2 linked regions of the Oryctolagus cuniculus genome follow. Each later gene encodes a partner of the first gene's protein in a complex. Links are inferred from orthologs where the notes say so. Each region holds a gene or a part of one and is shown on either strand. Other genes may lie near its edges.

Region 1 (3,823 bases):
ACTTTTTTCTTAGAATAATTGTTCCATTTTTCTGCAGTACTCATCAACTCAGTAAAGAATTGGTAAACAGTACAAAGTGTAATTTTGTAAGACTGGTGGTCTTTTCCTTGCTAATTTTCCAAAATACTTTCTTTTTTGTAGCTTGGTTGCAGAATTGTTGGTCCTCAAGTGGTCATATTTTGTATGCAACACCAGCGATGTGTCCCAAGGGCTGAACATCCAGTTTATAATATGGTTATGTCTGATGTAACTATATCTTGTACAAGCCTGGAAAAAGATAAAAGGGTAGGTGTTAGGAATATCATGATCTGTTTATTATCATACTTAACTTTTCAGTGTAGAAGATACTTTGAAAGACCTTAAACTTAATTTTCATATTTTTAAGAGTTCAACATACAACAGTATAGTATACCTTTTTTCTTAATAAATTGTATATAGTAGAATTCATATTAAGAGTTTTTATGTTTCCCTTCAAAACTGTTTTCCTTCCACAGTTAATAAATCACATTTTCCCACATTAGATGGATTGCCTTAAAAAAATTCTTAGAGCTGTATAAATATATTGATACATAATTTGTATTTTAAAAATATTTATATTTTTAAACTATAAAAAATTGAGCATCCGTAATCTGAAATCTGAAATACCCCAAAATCCCCAATTTTACTGACAAGACACCACAAGTAGAAAATTCCACACTTCACCTCATTTAACAAGTCACAGTTAAAACACAGGTGCACTAAAATTATTGTTTAAAATTACCTTCAGGCTGTATGTATGAGGTGTATATGAAACACCCATCCCCAAGATGTCTCATTTTGTATCTGCAAATATTTCAAAATCTGAAACCAGAAGCACTTCTATACTCACTCTGTATATGTATAGTGTATATGAATATAATCTTTATTACAGAAACAACATAGTTTAATAAACTCAAATAGTTGCGTAAATACAGGAAAGTAATTCATATTTATCTTACTATTTTCTTTTTGGGGCTGCAGGATGAAGTTCATAAATATGCACAAATGATGGGCGGACGAGTATTCAGAGACCTTAATATATCAGTAACTCATCTTATTGCAGGAGAAGTTGGCAGCAAAAAATACTTAGTTGCTGCAAACCTAAAGAAACCTATTTTGCTTCCCTCTTGGATAGAAGCACTTTGGGAGAAGTCACAAGAGAAGTAAGAGATCTTTTCTAGATTGGAAAAAGGGTGCATACTCTGGGTTTTCATAGGGGAGCTTTATTATATCCCCTTTGGATTAGTTATTCAGAGAGAAAATTGGGGCTTATTGAATGAAAACAGAAGAGCAAAATGTATAAGCTCTTATTATCAAGTGTAAATTGACAGGTTGAATGGAGTATGGGTTTAGCATTAGGTACAAGGTAAGAAATCTTTTGATAATAAAGTTAGTTTTTACTACTAAATGCTCCTAAAATAATTGAGAAAATCCATTTGGCAACTCTGTAGCTCTTATGTTGCATTATCCTTAAACACCATTCCTGGATGTTAAGATGGAAAATAAATAGCCATTTTGGCAATGTATACCCCTTAAAAAGGGTATATGTAAAACTGAATATGAACATATGTAAGCTATCAGCTGAGATGTGATCATTTAATAAATGTTAATTGAGCGCATTTTGTGAACCTGGCCCATGTGTTTGATACAAGTGTTGAAAATATACTGCTTTGACCAACAAAGGCTTAATGTTAATGAAATACATATTTTTTTCCCTTGAAACAGTTTTTATTTGAGGTTGTATCTGAAACAATATATTAGAGACTTGGTATTGAGCTGAGTGTCAGTTCAGGACACTGAATTGAGGAAAAGCAGTAGTGGGATTTCTGTTGATTGTCATTACTCTGTAAATTTAAAATTACCTGGCATACTTCATATGATCATTTGTATTTCTTTCTACCATTTGTTTTTCCCAGTAAAATAGCTAGATATACTGATATAAACATGGAAGAATTCAAGTGTCCTATTTTTCTTGGTTGCATAATCTGTGTGACTGGCTTGTGTGGCTTAGACAGGAAGACAGTTCAACAACTGACGGTTAAGCATGGAGGCCAGTACATGGGACAATTGAAAATGAATGAATGTACACACCTCATTGTTCAAGAACCAAAAGGTAAAACTGTGTTTCACAAAGGGACAGATGGCAAGCTTTTCTCTAGTATGTAACGTTTAAAACTATTGCTTCTGACATATTCTTAACCTAGTTTAATATTTTTTTCCCTAAAATCTTGAAAAGATAGTTTGGGTACAGTTTGAGAAAAGATTATATAACCATCTTAGTGTTTCTCCAGGTCATTGATTAAATACAAATAAAACTAAAAGTTTTAAACCTCTTATGATATTTTGTTAAAAAGAAAGAAAAACCACTTCTACAGTTGTCAGGTACTTAAAAGAAGTTTGGGTGAATGACAAGAAAACTGAGAGGTCAAGCCAAATGACACTTCTTTTAATGACTAAAAAACTGACTTTATTTTTAATTGAGTGAATCAACCTGACTGAATGAACTAGAAGTTTTTTTGTTTTTTACTGTGCATGTTTATGGGCTACAATGTGAGAATTTGGTACATGTACAATATATAATCAAATCAAGGTAGCTAACATTTCCGTCTTCTTAGACATTGATTCTTTGTGTTGGGATCCTTCAAAATTGTTGCAGTCACCCCACTGCTGTAGACTAGCACTACTCTTCCTCTATCTGCATTCTGATGCCTGTCTGTTCTCCCTCACTCCCTGCCCTTCACAGCCTCCACTGACCTCTGTTCTGCTCTCTTGTTAGAAAATCAGTGTCTGGGCCGGCGCCGCGGCTCACTAGGCTAATCCTCTGCCTGTGGCACCGGCACCCCGGGTTCTAGTCCCGGTCGGGGCGCCGGATTCTGTCCCGGTTGCCCCTCTTCCAGTCCAGCTCTCTGCTGTGGCCCGGGAAGGCAGGGAGGATGGCCCAAGTGCTTGGGCCCTGTACCCCATGGGAGACCAGGATAAGTACCTGGCTCCTGCCATCAGATCAGCGCAGTGCGCTGGCCGCGGCAGCCATTGGAGGGTGAACGAATGGCAAAGGAAGACCTTTCTCTCTGTCTCTCTCTCTCACTGTCCACTCTGCCTGTCAAAAAAAAAAAAAAAAAAAAAAAAAAAAAAATCAGTGTCTTTAGCATCTACATTACATGAGAACAAGCAATGCTTGTCTTTCTGTCCTGGCTTATTTTACTTAGCATAATGTCCTCTAGTTCCATCTGTGTTGCAGCAAATTGACTAGAAGTTTAAATTGAAGATACACCTTGCAGAACATGAGGCAGTAAAATAAAAAAAATTACTCCAAATATGAATTCTTTAAACTTTTGGCATTCTATAATCTTTGTATCTCTTTTGCAGAATATTTTTTACCAGTACTCATTTTTTTTTAAGTTTTATTTATTTTTTGGAATTTAGAGTTACATAGAGAGGGCAAGACAGAAAGAGAGAGATCTTCCATCAGCTGGTTTACTCCCCAGATGGCCACAACTGCCAGCACTGGGCCAGGCAGGAGCCAGGAGCTTCATCCAGGTCTCCCACATGGATGGCAGGAGCCCAAGCAGTTGGACCACCTTCCACTGCTTTTCCCTGGCCATTGGTGTTGGATTGGAAGTGGGGCAGCTGGGACGTGAACCAGCCCATATGGGATGTCTGCGTCACAGTCTGTGGCTTTTACCTGCTGTGGCATAGTAGGTTAAGACTCCGCCTGCGGCGCTGTCATCCCAGATAGGTGCCGATTTGAGTCCCAGCTGCTCCATTTCTGATGCGGCTCCCTGTTAATTGGAAAGCAGTAGAAGAT
Region 2 (3,823 bases), on another chromosome or scaffold:
ATTGCTGTCCCAGGAGCATTAGTAGGAAGCTGGATCAGAAGTGGAGTAGCCTGGACCTAAGCCAACACTCACATGGGATGCTGGTGCCACAGGTGGCTGCTTGACCATGCACTGATCTGGCAACATGATTTTTAAAAAATTCCATATTTTCTAGTTAAGTATAAAATTTGTTTGTTTTTTTTTTTCTTTTAAGTTATTTCCTATTTTTTTTTTGTGCAATGTTTTAAATTGGATGCTATTGCTCTGGTTTAGAACAAATTAGCTAGATTTACCATATATGCTTTTTCTCCCTGGGTAGGCTATTGATTGATTTCTTCCTTTGTCAACCACAGAAGAACACCCTGTTGAATGGATTTTGCCCACCTTTTCTGGTCACCTGGCCTCTTGGACAGGTCATTATTCCCTGGCACATAAAGTTTATGCTATTAATTTCTAACTCACATTAGCTTCTCTCAGGAAGCCTCCATCCATTGAATGAGTGTGGTGAGTGTAGTAGCCCTTTGATAGGCAGGGCTCAGGCTTAGGCTTTCTCTCCTGTGGCCCACAGCTCAGATGAAGTGATCCTGAAGCCCACTGGAAGTCAGCTGACTGTGGAATTCCTGGAAGAGAATAGCTTCAGTGTGCCCATCCTGGTCTTGAAGAAGGATGGGTTGGGGATGACTCTGCCCTCGCCATCATTCACTGTGAGGGATGTGGAACACTATGTTGGTAAGAGGCCACAGACTCTCTCAGCAGTAACATTGTTCACTCCCTTCAAGACCCATGTCCCTTCCTCTTTAGTCTACTTTTTGCATTTCCTTTCTAGCCATCTTAGGAATCTGAGGTGATGTACCTTCCCTGAAGTCATTCTTTGGCAAAACTAGAGCCAAAATCTTACTCTTTTCTTCCTTTTCCTCTTAATAGACTACATAGCCCTATATGGAGCTGCATCTTTTTATCAGGGAAATTCTAGGGATCTTAGTCTCTCTGTCCTCTTGTCCTCTACTGAGATGATAATGCCTTTGACTTTTTTTTTAAAGATGTATTTATTTATTTGAAAGTCAGAATTACACAGAGAGAGATGGAGAGGCAGAGAAAGAGAAGTCTTCCATCCACTGGTTCACTCCCCAGTTGGCTACAATGGCCAGAACTGCACCAATCCAAAACCAGGAGCCAGGAGCTTCTTCTGGGTCTCCCATGAGGGTGCAGGAGCCCAGTGACTTGGGCCATCTTCTGCTGCTTTCCCAGGCCATAGCAAAGAGCTGATTGGAAGTGGAGCAGCCAGGACTCCAGCTGGTGCCCATATAGGATGCCAGCACTGCATGTGCCACAGCGCTAGCCCCAATGCCTTTGACTTTTACCCTTACATACCAGTTGAGTTTTGGGGGGAGAGGAGGAGAAAAATTGATTAACACGGCTGACCCTAGCAGGTGACTGTACTTTGTGTGAGGCTGTGAGTCAGGTAGTTCTGTAACTCTAGCAATACTGGACCTACCACAAAAGTATGATGGATTCTTGCTCCTGCTCCCCAAACCCACACAATACCTGTACATACAATGTCTGAGGAGAGAAGCCTTGAGCAAAAAGCCATTCTATGGACTGGTAAGGGACTGAGAGTTTTCTCAAGACCACCTGGAGCAGAACTTGTCTCTTTACTTCAGGTTCTGACAAAGAGATCGATGTGATTGATGTGACCCGCCAGGCTGACTGCAAGATGAAGCTTGGTGATTTTGTGAAGTACTATTACAGTGGGAAGAGGGAGAAAGTCCTCAATGTCATTAGTTTGGAATTCTCTGACACCAGGTAGGAGGGGCAGGGGTAACAAAAAAGCATGACGAATTGTCTAGAACTTATGATATACTGAGTATCTTTTCTGTGTTCTTCTCCCTTCCTCTTTGTGGTTTCTTCCTTTGAGATGGGGAGCCGAGTTACAGTTTCTAGGGTAGCAGCTTTCATTATAACAACCAAGTCATAATATTTCTTCTGTATAATTTCTAACATTGGATAAATTACACAGTAGCTATTTTAATTTATTTTTATCACCTTCAAGATCTAGGGCAGCTTTCTTTGACCTTTTTCTGTTATTTAGATTGTGGCATGGTCACTGTTTTGACTACCAGGATAAGTCCTTTGTCTAAATTTACTAAATTTACCAAGTAGGTTGTCTAAGGATAAGCATTTGGATTGAAAAAGAAAAGGAAAAGGCTGTATCATAACATTTAAATGATTCTGTCTAGACTTCCACACTCAATAGATAAATAGTCTTCTCAGTGCTCAGAACTGAGGGAAATACCAAGAAATCACATGTCTTTTTGCTCTTAGGAAGCTTGCTGTATGCTCATTTACATTTTTTGACTTTTAGTTTTGAAATAATTAGATATTCCCAGGAAGTTGGTCATGTGTCTTCTTCCAGTGTTCCACATAGTAACATCTTACATTATTATAGTACAATATTAAAACCCTTGCTTTTGTTTTTAAAATACTAGGCTAAACAACCTGAAGATGTTTAAAAACTGTTTCTTTATGCCTCACTTCTGAAAGATGATTTGAGGTAGCTTACAGAGAATGCAGTGAGGTAAAAAAAAGATAATTAGGACAAAAGAAATTTCAGGTATTGAAGTAGGATGCATCTGGTGGGTACTCTGCACATAAAATGTATATAATGAATGTTTTGATAATTGATAGAGATGTATTATAGAGTTTTCACTGAATTTCCTGAAGGTCAGAATAAAGGAGAATGCAACGTTTTTAAGATTTGTGGTTTTACATAGGATAAAAACAACCGGATGTTTCAGAAAAACACTTCTTTACCTGTAACTAAGCCCTGAGAGGTTTCCCTAATGGTTTCTCATAAAGAAGACACTATGAGGTGAGGACAGCACAATAACTTATAAATCAAGGGCCAAGTGAGTAGACTGGTATTGGAGGGTGAGTATGATGAGCATTTAGTAGAGAAAATGACCACCTTCCACTGGGGAAGGCTGTGCAGCTGGAACTTGGGACTTCTGGAGCTGAATGGAATGAGAATGCTGACCAGAATTACAGAAATAAGTATCCTATGTGCCTTTGGGGATTCTATGGAATGAACTTGTTTTCCGTCTTATTTGATCTGACTGAGATGCAGGGTATTTTATTCAGGCTCCAATCCCTGATCAGCTGACATCTACTTTCACTCTCTCTTACTTGCTAGGCTTTCTAACCTTGTGGAGACACCCAAGATTGTTCGAAAACTGTCATGGGTCGAGAACTTGTGGCCAGAGGACTGTGTCTTTGAGAGACCCAATGTGCAGAAGTATTGCCTCATGAGTGTGCGAGATAGTTATACAGACTTTCACATTGACTTTGGTGGCACCTCAGTCTGGTACCATGTGCTCAAGGTATGACTGGATATGGCTTCTAGAGGTAAACAGGCCTTGGGCCCCCTTCTTGTATCAGGTGTCAGCACAAAACAGGCTGCTATGGACCACATACTTACCACATTCTGTTTGGGTAACATTTCCATATAACTGCTTTGTCAGAATTTAGTATTTGGTAGATGTGCCATACACCCTGATGATTGTTTGTCTGTACAGTTTATCAAAATTGTTTTGAAAAGCATCAAATGTCTATGGTTTTTCCAACTGTTTCCTTCTTTAATTGAAGCGATTTATGCTCCTACCAACATGTGTGGTCCTTCAGACCACATATGTCCTTCAGAAATTCCTAGTAACATGAGAGTTCCTCCTCCCTCTCCCCTTCATAGAGTAATTATTTATTTATTTATTTTTAACAGAGTGGACAGTGAGAGAGAGAGAGAGAGAAAGGTCTTCCTTTTGCCGTTGGTTCACCCTCCAATGGCCGCTGC

What was found.
Region 2: the proteins of TOPBP1 (region 1) and PHF8 are in contact, whole or in part, in a crystal structure (PDB 7CMZ), measured with the Homo sapiens proteins. The link is inferred for Oryctolagus cuniculus from reciprocal best matches to the Homo sapiens genes TOPBP1 and PHF8. Residues at the interface, in NP_008958.2 of Homo sapiens: Gln1298, Cys1299, Arg1314, Asn1315, Glu1316, Leu1319, Arg1369, Ser1406, Arg1407, Gly1410, Phe1411, Arg1413, Leu1414, Arg1465, Thr1466, Glu1467, Ala1470, Asp1471, Gln1475, Asn1483, Tyr1484; in NP_001171825.1 of Homo sapiens: Gly842, Ala843, Cys844, Phe845, Asp847, Ala848, Tyr850, Ile851, Tyr852, Pro853, Ser854, Leu855, Glu856.

Annotation. Positions count from the first base shown.
Region 1 is NC_091435.1:175,324,357-175,328,179, reverse strand, and holds part of TOPBP1 (DNA topoisomerase 2-binding protein 1), read left to right. Parts: intron 1-141; coding exon 142-285; intron 286-999; coding exon 1,000-1,181; intron 1,182-1,934; coding exon 1,935-2,131; intron 2,132-3,823. UniProt on the Homo sapiens protein: Scaffold protein that acts as a key protein-protein adapter in DNA replication and DNA repair. Composed of multiple BRCT domains, which specifically recognize and bind phosphorylated proteins, bringing proteins together into functional combinations.
Region 2 is NC_091453.1:38,056,340-38,060,162, reverse strand, and holds part of PHF8 (histone lysine demethylase PHF8), read left to right. Parts: intron 1-547; coding exon 548-708; intron 709-1,640; coding exon 1,641-1,782; intron 1,783-3,169; coding exon 3,170-3,356; intron 3,357-3,823. UniProt on the Homo sapiens protein: Histone lysine demethylase with selectivity for the di- and monomethyl states that plays a key role cell cycle progression, rDNA transcription and brain development.